Linked DNA regions of Caenorhabditis elegans. The protein of the gene in region 2 purifies or fractionates together with the protein of the main gene of each other region. This does not show direct contact. Each region holds a gene or a part of one and is shown on either strand. Other genes may lie near its edges. The genes, in order: emb-8 and bgnt-1.3.

The links.
Region 1: the proteins of bgnt-1.3 (region 2) and emb-8 fractionate together in Caenorhabditis elegans (co-fractionation; one large-scale study listed by BioGRID). This does not show direct contact.

Annotation. Positions count from the first base shown.
Region 1 is NC_003281.10:5,195,879-5,206,044, forward strand, and holds emb-8 (NADPH--cytochrome P450 reductase), read right to left. Parts: upstream 3,800-10,166; 5' UTR 3,783-3,799; coding exon 3,661-3,782; intron 3,603-3,660; coding exon 3,509-3,602; intron 3,456-3,508; coding exon 2,457-3,455; intron 2,410-2,456; coding exon 2,161-2,409; intron 1,659-2,160; coding exon 1,362-1,658; intron 1,318-1,361; coding exon 1,090-1,317; 3' UTR 802-1,089; downstream 1-801. Other genes in the region: moc-6 (Molybdopterin synthase sulfur carrier subunit), read left to right, coding at 184-249, 301-354, 398-453, 707-785; ATPase morc-1, read right to left, coding at 8,108-8,176, 8,226-8,465, 8,515-9,206, 9,255-9,893, 9,938-10,079, 10,155-10,166.
Region 2 is NC_003283.11:16,250,146-16,260,090, forward strand, and holds bgnt-1.3 (B3GNT1, Beta-1,3-N-acetylGucosamiNylTransferase 1, homolog), read right to left. Parts: upstream 6,351-9,945; 5' UTR 6,166-6,350; coding exon 6,094-6,165; intron 5,886-6,093; coding exon 5,713-5,885; intron 5,661-5,712; coding exon 5,465-5,660; intron 5,348-5,464; coding exon 5,245-5,347; intron 5,192-5,244; coding exon 4,912-5,191; intron 4,866-4,911; coding exon 4,749-4,865; intron 4,581-4,748; coding exon 4,487-4,580; intron 4,442-4,486; coding exon 4,305-4,441; intron 4,254-4,304; coding exon 4,172-4,253; 3' UTR 3,762-4,171; downstream 1-3,761. Other genes in the region: Receptor-type guanylate cyclase gcy-20, read right to left, coding at 1-84, 129-954, 1,399-1,592, 1,641-1,910, 1,994-2,116, 2,198-2,319, 2,369-2,494, 2,536-2,762 and 2 more; Nuclear hormone receptor family member nhr-218, read left to right, coding at 8,341-8,474, 8,524-8,657, 9,089-9,252, 9,297-9,386, 9,442-9,654, 9,704-9,920.

The DNA.
Region 1 (10,166 bases), on a different chromosome or scaffold from region 2:
TTTCATGGTACAACGATCTCTTCTTTCATTTTCCCACCGTTTTTTTCTCTATGTTCTCCCTTTGCCTCATCAATTTACTGGTATAGCTGTTACAATTTATTGATTTTTTTCTTTGAATTCTAACTACAATTTACACTGAATTATCGATATGAAATTTTTTACTTTAAAATTGTGAACTTCAGCATGATTTCAATTAAAGTGTTATTTTTCGGAGAAGCATGTCAGCTGGTCGGAAAAAGAGAAGAAGCGGTGGGCTTTTATTATTAGACGGAAACAATTTGGATAATTTTGAACTTTTAGATTGATTTTCCCGAAGAGACCGATTATGAAGAGATTCGGAAAACAATTTTAGAAGTAATAATTTACAGATTTCAAATTAAAAAATTGAATATTTCAGAATTACCCAGCTCTTCAAAAAATTGAAAAGGTTATGATGCTCGCAGTGGATCAGGAGTGAGTTTTCAGAAAATTGAGGTGCAACCGCGCTCTACGGCCAAATGGAAAAGCTCCGCCCCCAAAAGTTAGGTCTCGTTAGGTATTGGCAGCAAAACTGTTAATTGAAATGTTTTCAATAGCTTTTCATCATTTTTGTTATGTTTCGCGTTGTTTTTAAAGAAAGCTTTCGGAAGTGTCGTTGCCAATACCTAACGAGACCCAACTTTTGGCCGTCGCACATCTCTGCGTCTTTATAATATGTCGTTTACAGATATGCCAACCCCGGAGATCGTTTCGAATTGGTTCGCTTCACAGAAATCGCTGTAATTCCTCCATTGTCTGGTGGATAATCTTATTGTGATAATTCTTGTAGACTCTGTTTATTTCAATGAAAATTTGTGATATATTTGACAAAAAAAAACTAGAAAAGTGGGTTAGTGGGCGACAAAGGGTGCAAAATAGGGAAGAGAGGCGAAGTTTATACCCGAATTTCGAATGATTTTTTTTCTCTGTTTTGGGTTGAAAAGAGCTGGGCGATTGGGTGGGAGGTTATCACAGAAAAATGGGAAAAGGGGGAAATGCAATATTTTGTCTAAATCACAGAAAAATTACTGAAAAATTTTAAAAAAACTGAACAAAAATGAAATTTGAAAATTATGACCACACATCAGCTTGGTATCTTTTTGTCTTCTCCATATCTTTGAAGTAGGCGACAGCTTCCGTTTCAGATTTTCCTCCGATTTCTCTGAAAATCTTCTGAAGTGTTGCCTGAACGTCACGAGCCATGTTGCGGGCGTCTCCACAAATGTAGACGTGAGCTCCAACGTTAATAGCATCCCAGATACGATCACGAGTCTCCCACAAGCGATCTTGCACGTAGATCTAAAAATATCTTATTTAAAAGTCAATGAAACACGGTATCCTACCTTATGTTCCTGAGCTCTGGAGAAAGCGCAAACCAAGTGTGTGAGCACTTCGTCTTCTTGGAACTTTGCCAACTCATCTTTGTAGATGTAATCATGATCTGGATGACGGCATCCATAATACAAATGCATTGCTCCGATTTCCTTTCCGGCATTTTTGTGGAATTGACGATCTTGGAGGAATCCACGGAATGGAGCGAATCCTGTTCCGGGACCAATCATAATGACTTGAGTTGTGGTACGGTGGGGAAGACGCATTGTTGATTTACGAACGAAAACTGGAGATTTCGATCCGGCGTCCTGAAATTATTTGGATTTTTTTTTGGAAAAAGAAAGTGTGATAGTGAGAGTTTTTTGAGTGAGAGTACAGTGAGAGTTTTTTGAAATTTTGTTTTAAAAAATACAAAAATGAACCGTGATGGCCAAATATAACTGTTTAAAAATGTAATAAATTTTTCTAAATTTTTTTGAAATGGTTTTTCAATTTTGCAAATTGAAAAAAGAGATAATTATTTTTGAATTCCCGCGCAAATGCATCGTCCGGTTATGACATTTTTCTTAAAGTAAACTTGTATACATTTAAGATTTTTTTGCGAAAAAATGTCTGAAAATTTTACAAACTGTGCTTTAAATTGAAATTAGCCAGAAAATGCAAAAATGCCAAAACAGGGTGATTCATTTGCTAGGGAATTCGAAAATAGCTATTTTTCTTATTTGCAAAATTGATAAAATTATGAAAAAATTTGAAAAAGTTATATTCGATCATTACGGTTCATTTTCTATCATGTGCAAAAAAATTTACCTTGGTGGTCAAATATCTTGTACAAACTCCATTGATATCACGATCACCAATAGAATATTTAGTGACAACTGCACAAATTGCAATCTTTTCCTCATTTAATCTCGGAGATGAAGCAATACTGTAGTAACGGGCTTGAAGACGTGGAAGAAGTTCAAGAAGATACTCAATTGGTGGTTTACATGTCTTTTGATCAGTCAATACATCGACAATTGAACGACGCTCTTTGACAATGTATCTGGCGTACTCTTTCTGAAAAAAATTCAATTACTTCAAAATTAAAATTTAAAAAAACTCACCAAGCCCTCCTCATTGGCAGTTGATAACTTATTAAGGAATTCCTTTTCAGTATCATCCGTACAATATTCACTGATTGCTTTGAGCACATGAGATTTGACTGGAGCACAAATATCAACATAATGAGAAAGAGCAGTTCGGAATGTGGTTGGGCATGGGAATGGATGACGTTTTGATGCATCTTCATCAACGTTCACAAGACGGAATGCGTGATCAGGATCGAATTGAAGCATATTAATGAGACGATCAACAAGAACTGGATCATTTGTTGGGAAGACAGCCAGATGATCTCCTGCTTCATAACGAATACGGGATCCTTCAACAGAGAACTCAATATGTCTACAACTACGATCAGAATGTTCGGTATGAAGTTCATCATTGATCGCAACAGTAGCCAAATATGGATTTTTGACATCAAATGGTGGACGTGGACGTTCATAAGCTCCAAGTCGTCCAAATTCTCCCTTGAAAAGAGCTTTTCCTTCTTCAACTGGTTCCAATTGATATTGTCTCATTGTCTCGGCCTCTGTGTTCAACTCCCATCCAAATTCTTCAGCAACTTTTGGCAAGAAAGCTTCTCTCCAAATCATAAAATCTTCTTCAAGATTAGCATCATCATCTCCTAATCCCAAATGAAAGATTCTCTTGGCTCCAAGTTTTTCAAGTTGTTTGTCCATTTGAATTCCAATCTCATTAAAATGTTCATAAGTCTTATTTCCAAGTCCAAAAACTGCAAATCGAACACCCGACAGATCACAGTCTCCAGCATTCAAATATTCAACAAGTGTCACTGCATTATCAGTTGGATCTCCTTCTCCATATGTGGCAATGCATAGTACCAAAAGAGCATCCTCAACTTCACTCAAACGATTCAAATCTTCACATTCAATATCTTCTGGATCAACGACAACAGCCTTCTTGGTGTAACGAGTAAGATCTTTAGCAAGACGTCCAGACATTTCTTCAGCTGTTCCAGTTTGAGATCCGTACATGATAAGCACCTGAAATTAGAGAATTTTGATTCTATTTTCTTTAAAATTCCATATCAATTTACCTGTCGGTTCTCATTTTTCATTCGATCAATGAATGATTGATTCGATTTCGAAGCCGCAGCTGACGTGGTGACCGATGCTACGGTTGGCGAGTATCTGAAATTTTAATTTCAAATGTAAAAAAAATAATTTTCTGCATTTATTTTTAAAGTACCTGCTAGACGATGGTTGCTGATTGAAAACCTTCATGAAAAGGAATATAATTGCTCCACCAGCGAGCAGAGTGAGCACCACAAGGTCTGATGTGTCGAGACCCGACACAATCCACGCCAGCATGTTTAGAATGAGAGTTTCTGAAATTAAAGAATTATTTGAAAAGGAAGAGGGAGATATTGAAAAAGTAAATAAATAAGAAGTTATAGTTTAAACATGTTTTAAAATATTGCCGCTGAATTTTGCGATGTTTGCGCCGAGAAAATGACAAGTTTTTGTTAAATGCGCGTGCGCCTTTAAAAAGTACTGTAATTTCAAACTTTCGTTAATGTTGAATTTTAATTGATTTTCCATAGTTTTTTAAGTTTAATTTTATGTGATTTTTATTGTTTTCATGCATTTCTTTATTTTTTCAATAAATAAATAGTTTTTAAACAAAAATGTGTTTTTTTTCTGTTTTCAGGTGATTTCAGGTACTTAGAAAAATCCCGAATCAAACGAAAACAGAGGAAAACTCTGAAAAATTGATTGAAATGGCGCAGAAACGTTAGTTCGAAACTACAGTACACTTTGAAGGTGCACACCTTTTTGTATTTATCAAAAATTTGGCGTGTTGAGACTGGGTCCAGTGTTTTTGGCGCAAAAACCACAAGTTTGTCGCACTAAAATATATGTATTTTGAGAAATATCTGAATTTCTATCATATAACTGTAATAAATAATTTTTTACAAAAACAATTTCAACTAAAAACTTAATTTGAGATACGATTATCGTATAGCAAATTCAGTGAGTCTTTTTTCAAAAAAAAATGTACAGTCAATTTGTGTGAATGAATGGGAACATTAGACATATTGTTCTGTCTGTCCCCTTAATTTGGTCTTACAGTTAAAGAAAAAGAAGAAAAAACAAAAGCTACAGAAGAAAAATCGAATTAAGGGAGGGAGGTATATTGAAATAAACAAAGATACGCCGTGAGGAAAAGTTATTAGTGAAAAGAAAGTTGTATTTGCCAAGAAGGTGAGTATTTTATAGAAGCAGATAGTCAGAGAGTTTGCATCATTTTTTGAGGTTTGTGATCGACACACATAAAATATGATTTGGTGGTCGAAGAAAGATACTTCGAGAACACAAAATTTGTCAGACTTTGTATTGACACGTAGACTAGAGTACTGTTTAGCCAAAATTATCTTCTGAAAACAAAACTTCTAAAAACTATGTAATCTTAAAAAATTTCAGACATTTTGCAAGTACAGTAGGAAAATGCTTAAACAAAACTAAAACAAGGAGTCAGGAAAAATTGAAACAAAAAAAAACTGCGGCACAATATCTGATATAACCCAAGTAATTTTACGGCACAAATACAGTACCCAAGGTCTCGACACGACGAATGTTTGTTAAATATGAAAACACGTGCGCCGTTAAGGAGTACTGTAATTTCAAATTTTAGTTGTTGTTGAATTTTCATAATTTTCATCTCGCTATGTTGAAATTTGAGTTTTTAAAATAAATATATCTATTTTTTATCGAAAAACTTCGAAAAATTGTGGGAAATTCCGCAACAATGAAAATTTGAAGATACAGTACTCTTTCAAGGAGCACGACTTTCTACATTTTACAAAATTTGTTGTGTCGAGACCGGGAGCAATATTTCTGAAAATTAAATATTACTTGGTCACAAAAGAGAGTCAACTTTTGTAATAGAAATAAAATAAAATTGGTTATTTCCACTATTACAAGACTTTCAGAAATAATTAGTCGCCAAACGATTGTTTCAGTCAAAAATAATTTCCTAATTTGAATTAAACGTCAATTCAAGTCATGCGATGAAATAAATGACTGGTGAATAACTGTTGAAATTCAAAGATTGTCTGGTTAGGTTTAATCATTGATAAGAATTGAATTGAGAATTAGAGAAGAAAAGAAATTGCGAATTTTGTTTTTAAGTTGATAAGTCAAATAGATATGGACTGATTACACCGTCAAGCATTTTCTGTAGTTTATGTCACTTTTATCACATTTTGACAAAATTGGATGTTGTGTACGAAAACCACACGCAAAGTACGGTTTTATCAAACGAAAATGCGTTTTCTACAAAATTTGAAGTTCAAATGGAAAATCATAATTGTTTGCACGTAGTTTTCAATCAAAATATATCGTCACACTTGAGTTAAAAATTGAATTAGGCCCGATACAATGAACGGTCAGTCATCGAAGTCGACGTACATAGGGGCGCAGACAACACACACATTGAAGACGTGGAGGATTTCATTTTTTCCGGTTTTAATACAAGGAAGAGAATAAGAAAGGCAACAGGTGCCACTTTTAATTGGAAATCAAAAGGTTATGCGGAAGTCTGAAGAAAATCGAAAAATGTTTGATTTAAAAAAAACATCTCAGAGCATGATTGTAGAGCATAGAGTTGGTTGCCTAGGTTTCCATCTCAAAGAATAGGCTGTGATTGCAGGTGACCTGGCTACAGTGTACCCTTTATATTATCAAGAAGGATATCTCGGGGTTTTATTTTTTCTATGTTTGATGTCAGAGAAAGAATATCGAAAACATTATAGCGTCCTCATTAACGAAATTATCGGGAGGGTTTTTTTTTGATAAATGGAGAAGCGACATTTGGATAATTTGTTATATTATACTCGAAATAGTCCCAAAAGTTTCGAAAAAATTTTTTTTGTGAATTTCTGTATATGTGAAAAAAATCTATGAAATGTCACGAGATGAATGACAAAAAATTGCAAAATAAATATGAAAATAACCGAATATTTAAGTAATAATTTGCGACCGCTGCGACACGGAAAAGTTGGGAAAACTGGAAATTATTGCTGAAATCAGGTTTTTTTTTCGAAACTTTTGAACAGCCATGAAACTTTTGAGAATTCTTTGAAAAGTTTCGTGAAATTTGGATTTTAAGGGCATTTAGGGTATAATGAAGCAAAACAATTTTGATCGAAACAAATAAATTTAAAGAGACGAAGTTCAGGGGAAACATCTATAAATCGTGGAAAGAGAAGAAAACGAATATCCATTAATAAAAGTAGGTCAAATTGAACATCGAAAAGAAGAAACAGAGAGAGAGAGAGAGAGAGATCGTCTAGAATAAATCAACTACAAATGAAATCTTTCTTTTAAGCAATTCAAGCCTTAACAGTCACATTAACTATACACGAAGTTCCCCTAATACGACTATGATAGAGATAGAGAGAGAGAGAGAGGAAACAATTGAGAGGGAGTAACAGCCCACAAAAATCGCTTGTTCTTTTCTTCTTTCTCTTTCTTGTCTCTCTCTCTCTTCTCGTTCTGTTTCTCTACCTATCTCTCTTCAGTTCATGTGTTATCTATAATTGTTTTTCTCGTGAACAACTACCTCTATTGGCTACACTTGATCTCAAAGTGTGGTCTATGTTCTAGCCATTTTTGTACGTGTAGTTTTTGAAACCGATAGAAATGTGGAAAACAATTATGGCGAGTTTTGTTGGGGGAAACCGAAATTTCTATTTGAACAAAAACTTTTTGAAGATTCAAGACGTGGAATAGAACAAAAATGTCTAATTTATGTATCAAATTTGCAAGAAGATCGTGCAAAATACTCGAAATTCGGCGTTGTTCTCGAAGAGTCTTCCCCGATTCTCAAAAGATCGGTATCGGAAAATAAGTCGAATGATTTGAAGAAAAGATAAATTCGGTCTATTTCCATGAATATTATGCATGTGAAAAGAAAAATCGGGTTTTTATACGATTTTTTGAACTTGTACAAGATTTTGTTGGTGAAAATCGGATTAAAACATCGAACTAGAAACATTCAACCGAAAATGATTAATTTTGAATTAAATTTGTGATCATCGTCTAGAAAATTCTAAAAGTTAAAAAAGAGAACTAAACTACAAACCACGGATCAAAATGACTGTGTTCTGCTTGTGGTTTATGCTTACAAACACGTAGAGAAAAAATACAAATATTTTCAAAGTGATGGAGGCAACAAAGATAACAGTATGTTTTGATCATACGGAAGTAAAAATAGAAGATCAACAGATTCTTCACTGTAATTTCTGAAAATTGGTGTTTCAGCCTTAATTTGACTACTGGAAGTTCGAATTGAAATACATAGATGGATATATTTCTTTGCAGAAAAAACAACTCGATTGAAAAAAATTCATATTCTTACAAAAAAAAACATTCATACGTTCTTACTGAAGAGACAAAAAAAAAAAAGTAACCCATAATTGAAAAGAGAATTAGAAGAACGATAATAAATAAATGGGGTCGGGAAATGAGGTCGGGAACGATAATAAATAAATGAGGTCGGGAACGATAATAAATAAATGAGGTAAAAACGATAATGAAAAAAGAGAAAGCTAAAAATCTCTGAAAAGATTATAAATGAACATGCTATAATTGTACAAGTACGTCCTTCTGGGAAAACAGGGCGAGCTGGAATATTATTTTTTCTTTCCTTTGATTTGGTGCTCAATATTTTTCAGTTTCTCCTCGACAGTTCCAGAAGCAGGCTGAAATTTCAAAAGTTTCAACGATAAAAAAAAGATAAATAAAGCTTACAATCTTGAAATTATGTGTCGGGTTCCTCTTGAGATGATCAAGAACTGATCCAATCTGACGCATAATAGCTTGCTGTGCGTCTACGATTCTCTGATTGTTTTTGAAGTTTCGTCGTGAGGTTTGCTCCACAATGTTCGTCGGGTCAAAGTCTCGTTGACCGTTCTTTGGAAGAGGTTGTTCTCCATGAGCGGTCAGAAACTGGTTGAGCATTTCTTCTAGCCATTTCTCCCGAGTCATTTTCTGAAAAATATACACAGATTTTGTGATGCAAATATTTGAAAAAACTCACAGGTGCTCTCACAACAGCCTTTCCTTTGACTTTTGACTTTTTTGGCGCAGTAGCGTATCTTTCTTCGTTCTCAGAGTCTGAGTCATCATCTGATTGATCTCTTCTATTTCTTCTCGAAACTCTTTCAATTGGTCTTTTAGCACGTTGGCGCGGTGCTCTGATCGTCAGTGCCTCTTGCGACTCATCCGATTCTTCTCCCATAATCATATCCAATTGTGAACTTGGCGCAGTTCCAGCTCTACGAGAAATTTCGGAAACTGCGGGTGAGATTGCTCTTCCAGTACTGTGCCTGCGTTGGACTTCTGCGATATGACTGTCATGCGCATTGTTTGGAATGGGTTCCATCTTGACAGATGTTGTTGAGAATGATTCTCCCAATCTGTGACCACCAGTGGATGAATGAATTCTTTCGTGACTTTCTATCTTCGCGACGTTCAATAGACGAGACGAAGAAGAACAGGATGATGCCGAGCGAATAGAATTTTGAGAGTCGGACGATGATGGTGCTGAATTAGTCAACCGTTTCTGTGGTAGGATATGATCATATTTTTCCGGTAGTTTACTGAAGTCGTTATCTTCGGCGACAATGGTGCGACAACCATGATGGTTTACGTTTTCGCAGCAGAAGAAATCATCATTCGAGCCGACTATTTCATTCGGACGAGATGCTTTGATCCAGGTTCGGCACATTTCTAAAAAAAAACAGTAAATTAGTTTAATTATAAAACGAAAAAACTCACGACACAGCTTCCAAATCCCACACGTCGTCCACATCACCTGATCCCTCGCGCTGTCGTGAGTTTGAACACATGTCGTTGAGGTGGTATTATTGTATCCATAAACGCCCCATAGCACCGCCCAAACGTCATCGCCCTCGTAAATTCTCACGTTCCAGGTATTTTTCAGATGTGTTGGAATCCAACTCTTCTCCAAATACATGGAATAGTCGCGTAGAGCATCGTTGCACTTTCTAACGAGCACTTGGAAATCCTTCACATGATCGAAGCCTTGTTTGTTTTGTGCCGCACTGAACAACGAATAATCCAGACTCAGGAACATTGAAATACCGATGCTGTTCGCGAATTTACTAAAGAACTTGGCTTCCTTGTTTCCCCATAAAATCAATCGATTGTTGATGTAGAAGTGGATACCATTGTTCGATCTGTCCTTGGTTTCAATTCCCATGTTGAGATGGAATGATTTTTCACTCTTTCCTTCTTTCTTGAATGCATCTCGATCGGCAATGGCCGAATCCAAATTCTTCTGACTGGTGTCAACACGAAGCCGCAAACTTTTCTGATTGGCGCGATCCTCCCTTCGGACAGACGTGTAATTCGTGCCACCAATTTCCGACATCACCAAAGCCTTCTCTTCTTCGCCTGAAACAAATTACAGTTATATTCTTTGGGTGTCAATGACTCACATTTCTTGACTGTCTCATTCTTTTCATCAAGAATCTTGTTGTAGGCGGCTGTGAACTGATCACCACTAATTAGTTGTTGCTTCTTCGCAATCCAGTTTTCAGAAATCCTTTTCGGCAGAACTTGTTCTCCGCGGACATGAATCTGAAAATAGATTTTCAGAATTAAATGTTACAATTTTCGTAAAAAGCTGAGATAACGAGAGAGAATTTTACTTACCCTCATTCTAGG
Region 2 (9,945 bases):
CATTCCATTCAGATGACTTCGCACTTGTTCAATTGAAGGCCGCTCAGATGGTCTTTCTGTCCAGCAGTCCCGGACTAGGTGGAGCTGAAAACCACGGATGTATCACTATTTTAGTTCGGGTTCCTTACTAATGCTGGATTAATTACCACGGTTTCACCAGTGTCCAGAGATGGTCTCGTGGGATTGTGACCGCCTTTCTTCACCTGGTAGATTATTACATCCGGCTTTTCCTTCCGATTTTCCAGATCAAAAGCCGACGATCTTGTTAAAATCTCCGCGCAAATGATACCAAAACTATAAATATCACCTTCAGGTAGCCGCTCTTGATCTTCATTTCGCAAGTATTCAGGAGAAGCCCACAATAGATCTTCCTTCTTCGGATTCTCAAAAGTTCGCACAGATTTTAATCCGAATCCAGAGATTTTGATTTGCCATCTGTCATCAATCAAGCAGCATCGGGAAGTCAGTTGTCCATGGCATTTTAGAAAAGAGCTATGAATGAAATAGAGTCCATTTGAGATATCTCGAATCAAGGAAAACATGAAGAAGCTGTCCATTTGCATTGAACTTTTACTGATAACATCTGATAAAGATCCTCTTGAACAAAACCGCCAAAGTGATAAAAGCTGCGGCCCATCAAGGCATAACCCGATGAATTTGTTCAGATTATCATTGTCAAAGTTTCTCATTTGGCGAAACTCGGATTTTTGGTTTGCATCGAATAATACAAGTAGATCGTGTTTTTTGGCAGCGACAACTTCCTGGTGGTAATGGTAAAATATAAAATTAGTGGTCTCGGTGCGACTTTCCACGGTCATTTTGGTGGAAGTTGAGGGGCCACTGGCAAATGAGTGCATACTTGCTTCGGCTCTGGATTTTGACTGAACTTGTTGTAGCTCGACGAATGCAACTTGCCAGAGAAGATCTTGGCGCTCCATTTCTTTTCGCTTCATGCTGAAAGTTGTTGTTTGATATTAACGCGAGTTTTTGAAAAACTTTGGAAGGGCCTTTTGAAACAACGTCTGCTAGCACGAGTCGGTTATCCTGCGGTGTGATCTCTGAGAATCGCGGGAAATTTACAATTCTACTGGCGTCTTACAGTAAATTTTGTGTGACGAATCCCGAAATTTTCGGAGATCAGAATAGCTATTTTTGTTTGGAAATTGTGTTTTCACATATTATTTCCAACTTGGATTAAACTTTTATTGGTTGTAATCTTCGATGATTACAAAGGATTAAGGTGAATCTGTCTCTCCAAGCTTGAGCAAAGTCCTCTGTAGAATAAACCTCGGGAGCAAGAACTTACAGAATGCTTTACCCAGCAACTTGCTCATTTTCAAAAGGATTGCTCATACATGAGTCCTTTTTAATAAACATTACAAGCCAAAAAAAGCTCACTGCATTGTGTACAGAAGCCCTGCACACCCAGCCAATAACGCCAAGATGACAATAAACGCCGCAATAATTGTATAAACAAGGTATTCCTTCACAAAGTCCGCAGGACATTCTAATCCAGTGAATCCGCATTTCGGTCGAGAAAGTGGGCGAACACTCCAAAGCTCGGATTCTGATTTGTAGAACGGAGTGAAAACCTGAGAACAAACAAATGTAGGAAAGGAAAGCAAAACTGTGGGGCATACCACTTCTGAGACATTCACAAGAAGGCTTGCAGCCATATATGGAAGTAGTGAGGAGTTCATAGCGAACATGTAGACTTGTACAATCCGACTTCCTGACTCATCAAGAGTCACGGCTTCTCCGCCGACTCCTTGAAATGTCATCCCAATATTACTGAGAACAAACGACCCGTTTTTCAAATTTGAACGGGTTGGGTCTTGAGTGAGTGATTTATTCAATGCGAAAGCATAGGCGTAGAAAGAATCAGCGAGCTGTCCGGCGTAGGTTGCTGCCTGTAAAATTTAATTTCTCGAATTTTCATACTCCTGATAATTTATCGACAGTTCAATTTTTCTTACAGTTTCAAATCACATACATGTTTATAAGACTGATTTGAACAGTCTTGAACACAATTGAATGGCTGTTCTGCCATTCGAGAGATCACTTGACTTGTGAAGTTGGTATACTGTGTAGTGATAGTTGTGGGCTCGCCCATATTCTGGAAAATGAAGGGTAGAATTACTAAGACCGTAAAGTAATGAGGATTGAGTGTCTGATTCTATGGTCTTTAATTACTCACATCACAAATATACAACACTTTTCCATAAGCATCTCGAATCTGCTCATTTGTAAGTCCAGTCACCAATTGTCCATCCGTATCATCCCATGAATAGTGAACTTTTCCATCCGCTTCATCAACATCTAAAATTACAAATCTATCAGTATCTACTTTTACTATATATAGTCTCACAAAATCCTCTCGACTGTGGTTCTGCGAACACATAAAGGTACTCTTCAGTAGACATTCCAGCAAGCACCGTGGACGCAATAAACGCTTTCTTGAATCCTCTACCACTTGCAAAACATGCGATTATGACTAAAAAAATTGAACAGTTAATTTCAAAAAGTTAAATTTACTTCTTCCTCTTTTCGAAACTTCTAGCAAGGTCCGTTGGAGTGATTCCATGGTGACCGTCTGAATTTGAATCATATAGGCCATGGTCACATCTGAATTTTCGATTCCCATCTTTTCCATGTCATCTTTCATCGCAGCGCATTTCTCCTCATCTCCGTCGTTTGAATATATAAAAACAAATTCAGACCAACCATATTGGCGCAAAATTTCTCGAACTGCAAGCGAGATGCTGAAAGGTGAATTCATTAGTGCCTCCCGGCAGCTCTATAAAGAGCCTAATTGTTCTTAGATTACACATTTCAATTCGAAAAAACCAAAATTAATTTACCTGTGAGTATCCAATGACAGTGTGACCGTTGTCTGGTATCTACTGAAATTTCCAATGTCCGCCGTAGTAGTAAGTCCCCATTGAAAAACTGGAACATTATAAAAATCAGCAAGAGACGCAACTGCTACACCAGCTCGATTGCAAGTTGGGCCAATAATTACGTCTACATTATCATGGGTAAGAAGTTCGACTACTTTTCCAGCAGCGAGACTTTCAGAGCATTCATCGAACTTTATTGTAAAGCTGAAACAAGTGAGGTTAGGAAATTGATTGATTTGGATGGGATCTAACACGTCCACTTTATAAAGCCGGTGAATTCGAATTTTCTCAGAAAAAAGCTTTGGTCGAAAATTCGAAATTTATCATAGTTGTTGGCGGGAACATCAAATTGTATCATAAAATTATGCTGTCGAAAATTAAAGTTTTCTCAAAAATATTTCAGAGGGAAATTCAATCTTTCTCATAAAAATATTTACGGGAAATTTGAATTTTTTTTATACAAAATTTTGGCGGGAAATTCAATTGTTTTATAAGAAATGTTGACGGAATTAAAAATTAATGATATCTCTGAAAACAAAACCCACTTAAAATCATATTGATCCAACAGATGCTCCGCTCTAATCCGGTCTTTTGCAACTAAAACCGCTGCAGCAGATGTCCGATAACCAACTGATCTTATCACTGAGGCCGTGTCTTTTGAGAACATTAATCCCACTTTGATAGTTTGTAAAAATTGACAGAATACAAGAATATTCTGAAGCAGTAAAAGTAAAATCCGCATTGTTGAATGAACAAAAAAAAATACAATAAAACATGCTGGAATCGTCGGGAGGCAATAAAGAAACCTTTCAATATTTTTTAATAAGCATTATGAGTATTTTTCGATGGGATATTTCATAGAATGTTTTCATTCTTGTTTATATAAAGATTATAACACCATTGAGCAATACAAAACACATTCATCAGACAAATATTATAAGATTAAATGTTTTAACGATGTTAGTCATATTTATTCTAACAGCGAAATCTTGTTATGAACGCTAACAATATTGGTAAAAATTACAATTTAGCAGACCTACGTACGATACCGTACGAGTCCGGGTCATTTACTTTGACACAACTAATTGTTTTTTTATTTCAAAAAAAGCACAGTTATTAAAAAAAAATATGGCTATCATATTTCTACAGCAGTTACTCGAAAAAAATCGGAAAAAAATTTGGCGAAAAGTTTAAATTTTTAGAGAAAAACGCCGGTAGCGTGGCCAGCGGTTGGTATTAAACTCCACATTAATTCGATATACATTTTTTATTCAAATCATTGAAAACTCTCCACATTGACTCAATGTATGTGGGTATAAATCATCCATTTCCTTGATGTACCGATCACCAGCTCTGGAATTAGAAAAAAAAACTTTTCCCAATTTTCAGACGTTTCCGACTTACTCCTTCATTGCATACGCTTCTTGGTGGGCTATCGTAGCTTTTGAGTATATCGTATTGGTATGCTTGATGCCCCTATGAGAATCAAACACATGAGTTGGCACATGGAATGTGTACCCTGCACGACAGAGGGCATACACCTGGAAAAGGTAAAAAAATATATAAAAGGATAAAAAATTGGCTACCAAGGAGTGCATAACCTTGATCCTGGATGGGAAATAGTCAGCGTTGTAAGGGTCGTTGCGATGCAGAATTGTTTGCACTTCCCAGAGATAGCCACTGAAATTTTTTTTAAAGAAAAAGACGAGAAAACATTTTGGCAAATTTTCAGGGTCCGACATCTGCCGGGTTTTGCGCCGTATGCATTGTTGGGGATCGGCTCAAAGTCAGGGTTGCAAAATTTCAGAATTTTTCGAACAAAAAACTAAAAAAAAACGTAACACGAACGGGTAAGCTACTTCCTTCGTGGTGACCACCCCTGAATGAATCGAAGTCCTGAACCAATCGTCAAGCCCATCAATATGATGTCCTTCTGGGAAATAGCGATGGTGAAACTCAAAAGTTCTGAAAAGCTTAAAATTTCAGCTGGCTCAAACCCGAATTAACTTACTTGTGCAACTTTTTCGACTTTAACAATTTCAGATGATCTCTTGGAATTTCTGCAGTATCAGAAGTCTCAAACCTTCGAATGGCCAAAACTCTTTTGTTCTTCCCATCAATAACTTCATTAGCAATTCGTTTAATTTTCGTTGCAAATCCCTCACTAGGAACCATATCTCCATCCATTATGAACTGAAGATCAGTTTGGGCTCCTTTTCGAGCAATATTCCGCATTAGATTGCTGGGGTATAACTGGAAAGGGCCAACAATTGCGTTGCGGAGTTCTGTGTCTAAAAGAAAAATTTAAAAAGATAGGAAATTTCAGTGAAAAAAATTATCTTACGAGTAGCAAAGAATTCCTGGCATGATCTGTTTGACTGCGGAATTTCAATCAGGGGGCATTCGGTTTGAAATGGAGATCGGCGGAATGCAAAGTGTACATTCATCTGTAAAAATACAGAAAACAATTTGAAGATAACTGTGACCAATCAGCGACGTTGACCACGCCCTTTGCTCAGCGAGCGCTGATTGGTAGCACAAGAAAAACGGCTCTGTTTCCTTACCTTTCTTCTGAAAGAAACGTCACATCGATGCACTTCTGCTAGGTACTCAAGAACATTATAAGAATGATAATCAACGAATATTCCAATTGAAATCGGCCCATCCCACAGAAAAGTCATATTTTCAACAGTCTCAATCATATCTGCAGTTGCATGAGTTGCCAGAGTTACTGGTTCTAGGCCGTCTGCCTCGCGAAATCTAAAATTTTCAATAAATGCTGTGAAAATCTGATTAGTGATTAGATACTCACGATTCAGTTGCTTCTAAAAATTTGTACGCGATACAATATTGGTCAGCATGCATTTCGGTTTGAATAGAGTAACTTCGGCGTTCGCCTTCTTCGGCAGGATTTTCTATTGTGTAGTACTTATTGGGGTAACCATTTTCCAGGAGAGCATCAGATGAAGTATAGCTTTTCCTATGCTGAAAAATATTTTTTTAAGACTACTGACGGGAAACTATTTTCAGTCAGTTTTCTCAATTGCTAGGGAAAATTTAACGAACTCTTCAATTTTTTTTAAAAATTTATTATGTTCTCCCGCATGAAACAAATCTTAATTTTTATAATTATAATTTAAAAAAAAATTTTAGAAGACACTATTCAAAATTTCCAAAAACCCGAAAATTTTACCTGTATCAAAAAAACTAAGCCAATTATCGCTGAAAGTAACAGTAATCCGATCGATTTTTGTAAAGAAACCATCAAAAATCAGTGTTCTGTAGAAAAGTGAATACAGATTTCAAAAAAATGGCCGGTGTTTCGGCTTCACTTCTGGATTTGACAGGCAAAAGGACATTGTCTTATCTGATTTTTTCAACACCGCTTCTTCCACTTTTCGTCGGGACATGTTGAAACTTGAGGAGAAATGTTGTAGTGAAATACAGTTCCTGCTTTGAAATATGAATTTTGAAAACGTTATCGTTACTTGGATTATTAAAAAAAAAAAGATTTTGGGAACTATTCAAATATGTATAACCCAAACATAAAACAGGCATAAAAATAGGCAGAACAGCTTTTATCGCGATAAAACATTCAAAATTTGTGATAATTTTTATTAGTTAAAACTGTTAAGAAAATTGTATAAATGTTATGAATTAGAAATAATTTTTAAAAAAAGAACTGGTTTTCTGCTCAAAACAATGCATACTTATTCAAAATTTAAAAAAAAAAGGAAAATACAATGAAGTGGGGGTTTTTAACAAAAACATTAGAAATCGTGTTTATATACCAAATATAACATAACAAAAAATTACCAAAAAAAATTATTTTCACATTTACTTATCGGTTTTTTAATAGTTTTGCAAAAAAAATTATATAGCCAAAAGCAAAAAAATGTTGAAACTAGTTGATCCACTTGTGCGTTTTTTTGTTTCTTGCAAAATTTAAAAAAATTCATACAAAATTTAGAAAAAGTGTGTACGTTTTATCCAGTTCCACATGATATTATTTGGTTTTCAAACAATGGAAAAATATTTTCGAAACTTATTTCCACCCCTACAATTATTGCTTTCCCGAACTATTTCCAAAAAATGTCGCTCATGTCAGCAACAAGATTGTGTTCAAAAATCAAGTCCACGTTTTCCCGATTGCACAGCAATCCTTCCTTATTTCTTCTCATCTCTTCCGTGGAACTTTTCGCCTTTGGTGTGTTGAAAGATTTTATCCGACCGGTGTTTATTGCAACGCAGGCATTGTCCTGTTGAAAGGTAACATCGATAGGTTTAATCTTTCGATTCCCCTTTCTGTATAGAACTTTTCAAAAATTGTGAAATGCTCAAAGTTTTCTGAAATAAAAAATCATACGTCTACTCCCCAAAGTGCATTCAAGTACATTATATAATTCTGAGCTAAAAAAATTGATAGAAAACAAGACCACAACACCTTTTATGGTGCATCAATAGGGAATAGGGAATAAGCACTGCCTGACCCGCCTGCCACGCGGGTCTTGCGGAGCCCGTTAGTACGTCGGTACACCATAAAAGGTGTTGTCGTCAGGCAATGACCGATTTATTGAAGATAAGAACAGCTAATAAGAGCTGGTATGAATACATTTGAGAAGGGGCGGAGAAACTGTACTTAGACAGAAGAGAATATGACAAATGCAATATCAAAAATTGTCTGATATGAGTTATGTGGGAATGAAAAATAAAAGAAGAGATAGAAGAGTAGTTTTCGTGCATACAGTTCTCGTGCATACATTACAGTACTCCTACAACACGTGGTGTCAGGTTGTCTCATTGCGGTTTGATCTACAAATAATGCGGGAATTTTGCCCTCTGAAAAATGTGGCATCTGCACGCTGTTAACCATGCGAAAACAGTTGATAAGTCTTCGTCTCATCTTTCGCATTTCTTGAAGGTCAAACCAAAATGAGCACTTTGACACCTCAGTACTCCTACCATATCACAGCAGTACCCATGTACCACAGTTTCATACAGTACTACTACAGTACACTGCCCATATTTCTTTACCAACTCTCCACTAACTCCAACCCCATTCTCAAAGCTTCAGACAGACTTTTCATATAACTACAGTACTCCTACAGTACTCCTTCACTACATTAACGGTAATCCTACAGTGCCCCTTCACTGTGCGTGCACTAATCTCAACCCACTCCAAACACTGAGGATGTATTTATAGCTTTCTTCAAAAATTACAGTAATCCTACAGTACTATGTGTTTATCCCCAGAAAAAAATCGTTAAGCCTGCCGATGTGCCTGCCCAATAGTTCAAGTGTCCAATGAAAGAATGGGGTCTCACATGGGAGATCCGCTCGACGATTACGAAAAACGAACTCGATCTTTCTGTACTTCCAACGCGCCTATTTCCATTATTTCTCAGAATATCTTTTTCTGTTTAACTCATTGTTAGAAACTATGGTTGCCAGCTCATTTCAACATCACCTCGAGCCAATGCTAACACAGCCAATTCCGTGCCAAATTTGTACATATCAATCTCATGGGGTTAACTTTAACGTTATGACTTGTAGGGCTTGCGCCGCATTTTTCAGGCAAGTAATTAAAATGTTTTACACTGTAAATTAGCAAGAAAACTTTCAGAAGATCTCTTGTGTGCGGAATGAGATACCATTGCAAAACCCGAAAAAATGACTGTAGAATTGACAGTACCGAGCGACACTTTTGTAGGCTTTGCAGGTTTCAAAAGTGCCTACAGATGGGAATGAAGGCAGAAAGTTGGTTGTTTTGTGTTTGTAAAAAAAGTTGAAATTTTGATACTCATTTCTCGGGGTTCACAAAGATTTTCTTATCTAACCAAGCTATGTTGACTTTTAGCAATATTTTTTTAGAAGGTGCTTGTAGATCCCAAAATGTTCATAATATTTATTTTATTAAATTTTCCGTCCTAAATTTAATTTTGAAGTAGGAAACTTTAAAATATCCCGCCGAAATTTCCATTATAATTTTTTTGGAATATAAAATGTTTTTTAGCCAAACTTTCAAAAAATGTTAAATTCGAATTTCACATAATTTTTTTCAGAAGTTAACTTCCAGCCATAGTTTTTGTTCATAAAAATTTCAACAACTTCCACCAAAATTTTAAAAGAAAACATTTGAAAATATTTAATCAGATTTCCGATCAAACCATTTTATTATGAATTTTCAGAAATCCAACAAAATCGTGATCCAATATCTTCAACATTCCCGGGAACATCAACCGAGCCCGAATTGTCTGAAATTGTTGATCCTGAAAACGAAAAAAGTTATATATTTCATGGAACCCTGTATGGCTTCAAAAGTTTGTTGGCTGAAGTTCGATATATTTTCAGTGTAAGTTTGGAGAGACTATTTTTGAAAAATGCAGTTTTTTTCAGATTTCAAGAAACTACTCTGACAGCCCCTTAACTGATCTCGAAAACGGTTTCAAACTTATCACAAGGCATCAGAAACGGCGATATATTGACGTAAGAAAATTTCTCTGAATTCTAAAATGTTATAGTTTTAATAACTAATTTTCAGATTGAGGACCGGATCAATTTCCAAAATCTCACCGATTTTCGGCTGGGTCATATAAAAAACTGTGCCACGTGGTTAACGCATTCTTCATTTTTTCAAAGCTTAACTGAAACCGAAAATTTATTGATTTTAAAATCAACGTGGCATGTGTGGTCTTGGCTAGAACTTTTGTCCGTTTCTGTTGAAATATTTGGGAATCAAGTCTGCGAGGAAAAGGTTTGCAAAGTTAATTTTGGGCTTGAAAATTCATGAGAAAATTTTTCAGATTGTATTTCTATCCGAAAAAATTGCAGTCGACATAGTGAAGGTTTTCCGGTATATTTTGAAACCCCTAAACAAACAGGAAAAGAGAAAAGTTGAAAAGGAGCTAAACCCGATATTTCACATACTTTTTGATGACGTGGCAAGAAAATTACAGAATTTAAAGCCAAGTTCATTGGAGATAAATTATATGCTGTGGCAGTTAGTCTGGTTTGTAGCTGGTCAGTTTTGAAGTCACTAATTGTT